3 linked regions of the Mus musculus genome follow. The protein of the gene in region 2 purifies or fractionates together with the protein of the main gene of each other region. This does not show direct contact. Links are inferred from orthologs where the notes say so. Each region holds a gene or a part of one and is shown on either strand. Other genes may lie near its edges. The genes, in order: Topors, Plk1 and Satb2.

Region 1 (3,746 bases), on a different chromosome or scaffold from region 2:
GAAGAGTCCTTAAAAACTTAACAGACTTGTGTAACAGCACAAGTATGTTCCTAAAGTGCTGTATTTACTGAATCTGTTTCCTGGAAAAGTAATTAATAAAGCTTATTCTCAGAGTGTTATCACTGTCCGTGTTACTGTCCAAAGGTTCTATGATTTGAGACTAACAGTAAAAAGACAAATACTAAACAGAGCTATTAGCTACTTTTTTCTGTCCATTTTGATAAACAGGATGCAAAACACATTTTAGTCACAGTGTTGTTTACATACTGATTTGACATGAGGATGTGAAGTGTTTGAGCACTAGAATGAAAAGCTATGACCTGATACAAAATAGAGCCGGGCGTGGGGGCGCACGCCTTTACTCCCAGCACTCGGGAGGCAGAGGCAGGCGGATTTCTGAGTTCAAGGTCAGCCTGGTCTACAAAGTGAGTTCCAGGACAGCCAGGGCTATACAGAGAAACCCTGTCTCGAAAAAAAAAAAAGGGGGGGGGGGGTGTTGTCCGATCATTTTGAAAAATTGGCATGTTAACGCTTATCACAAAAGGCCACACGCAAATTTGTATTGTGAATTTTACTTTGAGTCTACATAGGTGCCATCTGAAGAAAAGAAGTGTTTGCTAAGAATTACAAAAGTTCGTTCAGAAGAACTTGTCTGGAAACTCCTTCTGTAGTTGTCGTCGTGCAGCTACAGTCGATGCATAGATGACGAATCCCCAAGAGAGCAAGACGATTGCAAGGAGCAACTAAAAGGAGGGGAGGAAAAGCAAAAAGAAGAAATCAATGTGCCGGGTCCTTTCCCTGTGTAGCCCGAGCAAGCAGCTACAGGTGGAAAGGCATCACATGCCTCTAACACAGTGCAGCCCAGAGGCAAGCAGGCCTGCAACCCCTGACGTCAGAGGCGGAAAAGCGTGTCCTCCAGGAAGAGGCGGAGCCGAGGGCAGGGCGTGAACGCTCAATTTAGGAATGGGTTCTGGAGTTCCAAGCTGCGAGCCAACAGTCTACCTTCGGCTCGCGGGCCCTGCCATGGTGCGCTCTGGAGCTCCGCTCTGCTCGGTACCTACCAGGGAGTAAGTCCAGTCCAGGCTTCGGCGACTCATCGGCCTCATGGTAAGGGAGCAGCGGGGACGGGGTGGCAAGGGCCCTACAGCCTGCTCGCGGGCGCATTGCACCCCGATGCAGCAGCCATTTTTCAGCGGGACTCTGCGCGCTCCCGCGGGCTTCCGCCCGGAGTTGGAACACATCACGTGATCCGGGCCTAGCCCGCCTTTCAGGCAGCAGAGGGAATAAAAGAGAAAATGTGAAGATCGCGCCTTTTTTGCGCTCACATAGGAATTCCTTAACTGCTTTATCCTGCATTTGCAGTGCGGTATTAATACAAGATAGTGTGCCATCGTGTGCATATAAAAGTTTATTGGAAAATAGTCCACGGTGGAAGAATCAAAGTTGCCGTCCCACACCCACATCGGTTTCCACCAAATGCGGATAGACCTTCATATGTTTATGCTTGACTTAAACATCTTTTACGTAACAAAAACATCGTTGGGAACTGTTAGTTGAGCCGTTCACCAAGAACAAACAGAATATTATCGCTGATGGCTGGAAATCTTTTCAAATATGTTGTACAGGTAGCCCGCATGGTGGATCTGCCGGCCAACAAGTGTTGACGGGCAGTTTGTCGAATGCTTGGGACTGCAGCAAGTTTGAAATACTAAGTCCCGAGAAAGGCAGCTTGGCAGGCCAACTATCAGGATGCTGGTGGTGTGCAGAGTGGAAGCCTGGCCGGCAGAGGCTGGGCCGCTCGGCTTTGGGCGCAGATGTGTCAGATACATTTTTAGTGTAGATTTCCGAGAGTGGAAAGAGGGAAGCGGGCCGCAGGGAGTTATGGCGGGGTAAAAGAAATGCCTGATGGTCAACCCAGCTGAAATAGACGGAAGGACCAGGGTGCTCTGGGAGCTCAGTCCAGTTCCCGTGGCACCATAGAGAATCCTAACAACTTGTTGAAGTTTGTGAGGTTCCACTGATACTGAGGCAGCCTTTCTGCATATTTGGTTGTGATTGTGGAGTTTGTGCTGTGCCCCCCCGCGGTGGGGGCAGGGCAGGGTCCGGGGTCTGTGCCGTAACGTCCCGCCTCCTGCGTGCGGCAGCGGTTTGGCGCATGCGCCCAGAGCTCGGGGGAAGGGGGTGGAGGAGCGGTGTTTTGCTGCGCGGGCTCGGGGGGTTGGTCTCGCCTTCTCTCCGCCTCCAAACTGCCTGTGGGTGATGAACGTTCTACGTCATAGGGGTCGCAGCCGCCGCCACCGGGGTCTCCGCTGTCTCGCGAGGAGGGTGAAGCGCCCCCTCTGGTGCCTGCCGAGGAGGGGAGGCGCCGAAGCCGCCGGGTACGCCTTCGCGGATCCTGCCGCCACCGGCCGAGCTTACTGAGCCGGCGGGAGCTGGCTTCCAACGGCCCAGCGGTTCCTGCCACCGCGTCCTCGGAGGTGAGTCGGCCGGGAACAATGGGTGAGGGGTTCCAGTAGGCCCTGGAGCAGCCCTGTGGTCTGGGCCTTCTTCCACCCGGAGCTCCCAAGGGCTGGGGTCGCCACGCTGCAGGGCACCTGTGGATCGGCACCGGTGGGCAAGCGAGGGGAGTGTCTCCCTGCACTGCCTGAAGGGCTGGAGCGCAACTGAATACGGGATAGAGCTGTGTGTCGGCGCAAAACAGTTGCCACTGTTAGGAAGTGTGACCTTGGTAGGTCCCCAGCCCTGGACCCTGTCTGTGAAATGGGATCAGCATTTCAGTTGGTCGTGTTTATGTAACATGCATGGTGTGGTTGTCTTTCCATCCGAGACAGTAGTTTTGGACTAAGGAAGCTGTTAAGGCTAGAGGAGTTGTGCAGTGCTACACATTGTGGGCAGGGCTTGTATGCCTTGTGACTTTATTACACATCTAGTTAGTGCCCTTTGCTCATGGGCTGCTGATTCTGATTGGTAGACTGGAGAGGGGCAGTTACGGGATTGAAGGCACGGAGATTAAGACCGGAACTGGGAAGCAGCAGTTCTACTGGGCACCGTCCTATGTTAAAGTGGAGAAAGAAGGAAAAAACGTATGTGTCTTAAGAGTTGAGCTAGTACAGGGTAGAGTGTTTCGTTTGAGAGGATTTGAGGGTTTGGAAATAGATGGAATGCAAAGTGCAGGGCTCTTCAGTCAGTCACACTCAATGCGTATCTAGAAGGAGAGGCTTTCACGGGGCTAGCTTCCAAGCAACCCTCACCCCTTTTATTTTGGGGCAGGGACTTTTGTAGCCAAGAGTGGTCTGGAGTTCCCTACTTTGCAAAGGATGACCTTGGTCTTCTCACCGTCTTGCCTTCATATTCCAGTCTTCTGGGAATGCAGGAATATTCCAGGGTGCCTGGTCCCAATTAAATTTTATTATTACCAGAATTGAAATTCAATCTGGACAGTGGTGGTGCATACCTTTAATCCCAGCAGAGGCAGAGGCAGGCAGAGCTCTGAGTTCAAGGCCAGCTTAGTGTACAGAGTGAGTTCCAGGACAGCCAGGGCTCCACAGAGAAACTCTGTCTAGCCTCACTAAAAAAAGAAGAAATTAAATTTGGTCATTTAGGACTTAACAAATTTTAAACTATTCAGATTTACAAGTAGAATGCAGATTGCTTTTTACCAGTCATTCTGTTTTATCTATTTGTGGATGTTGTTAGCTGCTTTGCTTAGATATGTTAAATATAATTGTTATCATCTTTGGAAACTG
Region 2 (3,746 bases):
TGGTTCTGCCTATCGCCAGGCTTTCTACTGGCCTAGTTCTCCCTTCAGCACTCAGCAGGACTTCCAATGCTCCATGGAAAGTCAGGCAGGGATTGTATTAAACCCAGGTTCAGATCTGAAATTCTGAATTCCTAACAAGCTCTCAGGTGTTGATGGTTTGGATCTGTGCATACTTTTAGTAAGCACCAAGGGCCAGGAGGAAAAGTTCAGGGACTTTTTGATCCCTTCCCTGGACCAACAAGTCAAGTTACAGGAATCCAACAGCCTACGCCAGACTGATATATGAAAAGCAGGGTTTCATGTGGGACAGCCTGTCCACTAAAACAGCCTTTCTATAAGGTAGAAAGATTCACATGGCAAAGTCAACTGGGTGAGAAGCCTCAGAAAGCCCTGCTGAGGCCCAGGAGCCAAGGCCATTGCCAACTTACATGATGCACCCAATGGACCACACATCCACCTCAAAACTGTGTCCCTTCTTGCTCAGCACCTCAGGAGCTATGTAGTTAGGAGTGCCACACAAGGTCTTCTTTCGTTCCCCTTCATATTCCACTTTGGTTGCCAAGCCAAAATCCCCTGGGACAGAGGAAAGAAGAGAGGGTGCTCAGCTGCTAAGCCCGGGCTGTCTGTGGTTGCAGGCAGCTCTGTTTTGATCCTGAGCATTGAGAACTAGTGGCTTGAGGCCCCAGAGTCCCTGAACCCTTCCACTGTACTGGCCCTAGCCAGCCTCCCACACACCTCTTTAGATAGCAGGGTTACGGTGGTTAAGGTGGCTCAGGAGGTAAAGGGGCTTGCTGCCAAGACTGATAACATGATCTACGTCGATCCTGGGACCCACACAGTGGAAAGAAAGAACTGACTCCTTGAAGTTAGCCTGTCTCCATTCATAAGTAAATGAAATTTAAAATGCACAGGATAGCAGAATTAGATGCACTGGGGAATCAAGTAGATGATCTTCGTGACTGCTGCTGGGCAAGTGTGTGGAGAAGTGACAGGGATCTAGGGACTGGCCAATCAGACTCAAGGGGGCAGGTTTTTCAGCTTAGTAAAGAGACACCTGAGGAGATGCTGCCTGCCATACTCTACAGCGTAAGTCCAGACCTGAAATTGGCTGAGGGTCTGGCTCAGTGCTAGGTTATAGAGAAGCATTTGGGGGAGGGGCCCCAAGTTCAAAACTACTGAGTTGAGGCATAAACACCAATGCATCTAAAAAAAAGGCAAGGAAAGTGTCACACACACACAAACACACACACACACACACACACACACACACACACTTTCCACTTCCTAACTAGAGGGCAGCATCTCTATTTCCTCACCTTCCCCTCCTTGTCCCCTCCTGCCCTGACACCAGACACCCGAAGGCCCAGCACCTCACCTATTTTCACCTCCAGATCCTCGTTCAGGAAGAGGTTGCCCAGCTTGAGGTCCCTGTGAATGACCTGATTGCGGTGCAGGTACTGGCAGCCCAGGACTATCTGTCGCAGGTAGTAGCGGGCCTCAGGCTCGGTCAGTGCCTTCCTCCTCTTGTGCAGCTCCAGGAGGGACTGAGGAGGGAGAAAGAGGTCACTGAAGTCCAAGAAGAGTGGCTAGCTGGATGTGGCTAGGACTAGACGCTCGGAGTGGAGAGTCTTAGCAGGTTTCTGATAGTTCTACCCATACACTGGTTGGTCACTATCATTCACCAGACCCTCTCCTGAGTCTTCTCTCAACCCCACTCTCGACTCCCCTACCCAGGGCTTCCTCCTGGCAGGAGATTCCCTCCCTTTCCTGAAAGCTCTAAAATCTGACTCCAAACAGCCGCCCCCTCCCCCGACCCTGCCCCACTCCGGAAGTTAGAGGTGCGTGGCACACCAAGCCTGGGACCCTTCCTTAGCCACTTTATGAATCCATTTCCTGTACCGACTCGCTGCCTTGCGTCTGGGAGCTCCATCCCTAATAGCAACAGGATCTGGTCTCGGTTTCCCCAGAACCCCGGCCTCAGCAGTTCGGAGTGCCAAGTACCCTCGCTAGAAGCCTTTCCATAAAAGTTTGAAACCCAACCACTCCTCTAGGTCACTCCAAAACCTCGGTGCCCCTTTGTCAGCAAGTTCCAGGTGTGGGAGCCCCAGCACTGCGACTGAAACACTCACCCTCCTGCGACAGAGCTCCAAAACTACAAATACAAAGTCGCTGTCCTCAAAAAAGTCATGGAAGCCTACGACGTGTTGGTGTGCTAGGCTGCGGTGAATTGAGATCTCCATAGACATCTTCTCCTTCTGGTGGGGCTTGAGCAGCAAAGACTTAGGCACGATCTTGCCTGCGAACACCTCTTTTGTGTCTGCGTCTGAGATCTCGAAGCATTTGGCGAAGCCTCCTTTACCCAGAAAGCGCCCCCGTACATACTGCCGCCGGCTGCGTGGGTCCACTAGGACCTCCGGAATTTCTTTCGCCAGCGGGGCGGCCACTGGGGCACCGGGAACTGCATCTCCCGGAACCCCACCTTTCCCGAGGTCGGCTGGTGCTCGAGCCAGCTTTCCAGCTTTGGCCGCTGCATTCATGATGCCGAAGTTGCTCCACGAACCTGGCTGAGTCGGTGCAGAGGGTCCTGCTCTGCTCCGCTCCTCCCCGAATTCAAACGCGGCGCTGGGAACGTTACAAGGGCCTGCGCGTTGCTGATTGGCCGCGGGGATTTAAAATACAAACCCGCCCAGCGCGCGGCACCATGGGAGTGCTCTACGGCGCAGCCGCCTTTAAACTCCGATCTTGCCGGCGAAATTTTTAATGGGCAGGGACTGGAGGACTGCGTTTGCTCAGGATTGCCTGGGAAACCAGGAACGAAGCAACTACGTGAAGATCCCTAGAAGAACAGGATTCTGTCCTGCTTTCTGCTCCTCGGCTGGGGCGTGCTCATGTGGTTCACCTGCGCCTCCTCCAGGGGCTTCTCCTAACTGTTAAGATCTAACACCTTCCTCCACCGGACCCGGCCTTCTAGAACTGAAACTCCAGGCCAACCGGTAGCTTGAGAGTGCACCGCCTCCGCGGTGGACAGCCCTCTCCCCGGCTAGCCTAAATAAACCCAAAACTGAGCAAGCTCAGCAGGCAGATGCACCTTCACGGCGCAACGGACCGATCTCCTCTGTGGCACTAGGGGCTCCCAGCCCCTGAGAAGTAACTCAACCCTTCTCTTGAACAACGCAGGAGGCCAGCAGCATCTGCAGCACCTGGAATTCCCTAAGAAGGCAAAGGAGGGGCGTGGGTTCAGGATTACAAGTTAGCCGAGATCAGCCTCAGCTACCGCTCCACTAACCCCAAAGGAAAGAAACTTCCCAGGCATGACCTGCCGGTCAAACAAGACCTTCAGATGATTCCTATGCCCTGTGATATGTAAGAAACACCGGACGTCTGCCCCGCGATGCAAGGTTACCTGGGTTGTTCCAAGTTGTGTGGCCCAGAGCCCCAAATAGAAAAAATTAATTTTTTAGTCAGAGGTGGGGGGGTAGCTGGTTAGAAGAGTGCTAGCATGCCGGTATACCAAGGCCAAGTCTGCCCTGCCGAAGTGTCCGTTCAGCCTTCACTTAGGAAAAAAAAAAAATGAGCCGGGGCGTAATGGCACACACCTTTAATCCCAGCACTGGGGAGGCAGGCGGATTTCTGAGTTCAAGGCCAGCCTGGTCTACAAAGTGAGTTCCAGGACAGCCAGAGCTATACAGAGAAACCCTGTCTCGAAAAAAAAAAAAAAATGGATTTACAACATGTAAAAAGAGTGG
Region 3 (3,646 bases), on a different chromosome or scaffold from region 2:
CAGAAGGGAGGAAGGCTGGGGAGGAGGGAGAAAACCAACTCGTTCTTTCTATGCATGGCTCATTATGAGAGAAAGCGCAGAGGAGTATCAATCTTACTGTCTTACTGACCTTGGAAAGTGGGAGCAATTTAAAATCCACTTCCTTTCTTCATATTAATTTAGAGATGTTTAAAAAAAAATCTTTGAAGCAAATCCATTATGAACATTTCAGGTTGCTCAGTTAAAATGGGAAGCAGGGTGACCCAAGGCACAAGTGACTCTTAATTTCGGGAGAATCGATTCATGGAATGCACACTTTCCAGGAAGACAAGTGCCTCACTTGTTGCTCCTAAAAGCATGCCGTGAGATCTGGATTTTCCTTTAATCATTTCAGCAGTAGGATATTTTTACACATACCACCTACCTTGCTCTTTCCTTGAGCACATATGTGCATGCCCACATACTAACTAGCACACAGCCCCCTCCTCCGCCACACATACATACCTTACATACACACACACACACACACACACACACACTTTCTCTCTCTCTCTCTCACACACACACATTTCTTCTAGCTTCATTATGTGGTATATTTTATCCCTATTCACATTCTGACCTCAAGCCAACACCATGTGCTTCCTAGCTATGTTTGTGTAGGCACTTACCCAGGTATTAGGATTCCTCTAATCACAGTAATGTGACCTCTACGTTCAGAGCTAGCAGATGGCACACTGTCGGTAGCTTCCTTGCAGTAGAGTTGTTTTGTATGATTTTAAAAACTAGGTTTATTTATGTATCTCTCTGTATGTGTATGGTATGTTGTGTGCACACCCATGCATGTGCATGCATGTGCACATGGTTGCAGGAGTCAGTTCTCTTCACCTACCATGTAAGCCCCAAGAATCAAACCAAGGTCATCAGGCAAGTGCTTTTACCCACTGAGCCACCTTTCCAGTCCCTGTGTGGTATATTTTATCCCTGAATGATGACTATACTTCCTTGATTGTTGGCAACTGTGTGACATGCCTCCCTATAAATGGTATTTGCCATACTACGGCACAATATAGTAATTTGTATGAAAATGCCCACTATACCCTGCAGACTTCTGTCCAGCCAGAGGATAATTCTCCTTACAGCCACTGCTGTTTTATATGTGAGCTGCATCTCCTGCACTTATATTAATTTCCCTCAGTGCAAAGCATCGTTGGCACGTGCAGAGCTTTACCACAGTCTATAGAAGTGACTTTTTGTGTGATCAAAGTACAGGATTAGCATCTTAGCTCTTCTTGGAGAAACAGTTGTAAAAGTTAGTGCCCTGCAAAAGGATAAAATAAGAATGAGAATATGAAATGATGCTTCTGTGTGATAACCCAACAAGTGCATGCGACAGTAATGGATCTGCCTCTGTCTTAGTATCTCTCTAGCTCAGTGGTTCTCAACTTTCCTAATGGCTCAACCCTTTAATAGTTGCTCATGTTGTGGCACCCCATCCATAAAATTATTTTTGTTGCTACTTCATTACTGTAATTTTGCACCTGTTCTAAGTTGTGATGTAAATATCTCACCTGCAGGATACCTGGTAGGCAACCCCTGTGAAAGGGTTATTCTGCTCTATCAGGGTCAAAGCCTGTATGTTAAGAGCCATTTCTCTAGCTCATCTCCTACTCTCCTCTTAGGCCATGCTGCTGTAGAGTATCGACAAAATCTTTGTGAATTCTGTGTCACTAGAGTACACAAAAACCCTGCTTTTAAAACCCCCATATTGAGTTGAGTCACAAACTCAGAAAACATCAAGTCGATCAAGACATCAGAGCCTATCAGCACTACAGTTAGCACATGCCCCGGTCCCTAGCTAATGTAACCACATTTTCATCACTTGACATTAGAGTTTCCCATGTGGTACCCCACAAAAGTCTGGGGTGCCTCATGGTACCTATGAAAGCATAGCTGCTATGCGTGAAGGCTGGGAAGTTATCAGAGTTGACAGGTTATGTGTGCTTTCTATTCGCCACCTCCCTTTACCTTAGGAAACATCTATATTGAAACCAGTGTCCGGTCATACAGAAATTCAGCCAAACTTTTATTATTTTTTTAAAATCGATGTAAATCTCCCATGCTGTTTAAATGTCGGAACTAAATTTACCAAACTTGGCAGATTCGTAAAGCTAAGCAGGACTGCCAAGAGTTCCCAGTTTCAAGCAGAGAGAGTTCTAACAGCTCCTGAAATACTTGCTGGAGGCACCTGGTGGTTAATTGCAGCTCCATATTTCCTCCTGAGCGCCTACCTTGCTCGCTGGCATTGGCGCACATAGGATTATTACAGCGATGATGAGGTGGCAGAATAGAAGTCCTAAAATAAGGCACAGCCCCGGAAAGGGAACACATTCATACAGACTCCTCCCTAAGGAATTAGGCATGTTCCTGATATTCTCTCAAGCTGGTTATGCCAAACAAGTAGAGGGGCAGTTGGCAAGGGAGACGGAAACCATACCCGTAAATCCGTAGACATGACTTTGCCTATTTTTTCCCCACTCTACCAGGGATTATTGTCAGAGATACTGCGTAAGGAAGAAGATCCCAGGACTGCGTCTCAGTCTCTTCTAGTAAACCTGAGGGCCATGCAGAACTTCCTCAACCTGCCTGAAGTGGAGCGTGATCGCATTTACCAGGATGAGCGAGAGAGGAGCATGAACCCCAATGTGAGCATGGTCTCCTCTGCCTCTAGCAGTCCCAGCTCCTCCCGAACCCCACAGGTGAGCTGTCTGCTCCACACTTCACATACTTCACTCGTGCTTCATGGACATTGTGTTTTTCCTTGAAAACCAAGAAACATCATTGAACAGGTCAAAGGATATAACCTCTGGCTATATCATGAGGTAACCCTGTGCTGTGGAGGTGTGTTATTCCCTTCTCTTTAGGATAACCCCATTCTTCCACATAAGCAGGTGAGGGGACAGGGCAAGAGTAGGAGGTGAGTTCCTGTCTTTTTTACAGTTTCAGAAGAAGAAGAAGAAGTGGGGTTCCTGTGGGGGTTGTGTTTGTATAAGAGCTACTTTATTTTCCTTACATTGCTTGTTTATTTTTCTGGGGGTGGAATGTGGTTGAGGGCAAGAAACAGCAGTTCAGATGCTGCTGTGAGCAATTCAGAAAGATAAAATGGAAGGCAGGAGAGATGGCTCTGCGGTTAAGATGGATTATCATCTTTGTTTGTAATTCCACCTCCAGGGGGATCCTGCACTCATGTGTACCTATGCCACCCAGACCCCCAGTAACAATACAATAAAAAAATTTCCCTTTCCCTTTCCCTTTTCCCTTTTCCCTTTTCCCTTTTCCCTTTTCCCTTTTCCCTTTTCCTTTTCCCTTTTCCCTTTTCCCTTTTCCTTTTCCCTTTTCCCTTTTTTCCCTTTTCCCTTTCCCCTTTCCCCTTTTCCCTTTCCCCTTTCCCCTTTCCCCTTTCCCCTTTCCCCTTTTCCCTTTTCCCTTTTCCCTTTTCCCTTTTCCCTTTTCCCTTTCCCTTTTCCCTTTTCCCTTTCCTTTCCTTTCCTTTCCTCTCTCTCTCCCTCTCTCTCTCTCTCTCTCTCTCTCTCTCTCTCTCCCTCTCTCTCTCTCTCTCTCCATCTCTCTTTCTTTCTTTCTTTAGAGAAACACAGTGGAAAAGTTCTGT

The links.
Region 1: the proteins of Plk1 (region 2) and Topors purify together in Homo sapiens (affinity purification with western blotting; 3 studies listed by BioGRID). This does not show direct contact. The link is inferred for Mus musculus from reciprocal best matches to the Homo sapiens genes PLK1 and TOPORS.
Region 3: the proteins of Plk1 (region 2) and Satb2 purify together in Homo sapiens (affinity purification with mass spectrometry; 3 studies listed by BioGRID and IntAct, counting the BioPlex papers as one, with this or other methods). This does not show direct contact. The link is inferred for Mus musculus from reciprocal best matches to the Homo sapiens genes PLK1 and SATB2.

Annotation. Positions count from the first base shown.
Region 1 is NC_000070.6:40,267,035-40,270,780, reverse strand, and holds the start of Topors (E3 ubiquitin-protein ligase Topors), read left to right. Parts: upstream 1-939; 5' UTR 940-1,061; coding exon of another isoform or gene 1,062-1,104; coding exon 1,105-1,107; exon of another isoform or gene 1,108-1,202; intron 1,203-2,279; coding exon 2,280-2,477; intron 2,478-3,746. Other genes in the region: Ndufb6 (NADH dehydrogenase [ubiquinone] 1 beta subcomplex subunit 6), read left to right, coding at 1-2; Smim27 (small integral membrane protein 27), read right to left, coding at 639-743, 1,062-1,106. UniProt on the Homo sapiens protein: Functions as an E3 ubiquitin-protein ligase and as an E3 SUMO1-protein ligase. Probable tumor suppressor involved in cell growth, cell proliferation and apoptosis that regulates p53/TP53 stability through ubiquitin-dependent degradation.
Region 2 is NC_000073.6:122,158,334-122,162,079, reverse strand, and holds the start of Plk1 (serine/threonine-protein kinase PLK1), read right to left. Parts: upstream 2,646-3,746; 5' UTR 2,538-2,645; coding exon 2,130-2,537; intron 1,545-2,129; coding exon 1,376-1,544; intron 574-1,375; coding exon 429-573; intron 1-428. UniProt on the Homo sapiens protein: Serine/threonine-protein kinase that performs several important functions throughout M phase of the cell cycle, including the regulation of centrosome maturation and spindle assembly, the removal of cohesins from chromosome arms, the inactivation of anaphase-promoting complex/cyclosome (APC/C) inhibitors, and the regulation of mitotic exit and cytokinesis.
Region 3 is NC_000067.6:56,849,260-56,852,905, reverse strand, and holds part of Satb2 (DNA-binding protein SATB2), read left to right. Parts: intron 1-2,522; coding exon 2,523-2,735; intron 2,736-3,646. UniProt on the Homo sapiens protein: Binds to DNA, at nuclear matrix- or scaffold-associated regions. Thought to recognize the sugar-phosphate structure of double-stranded DNA.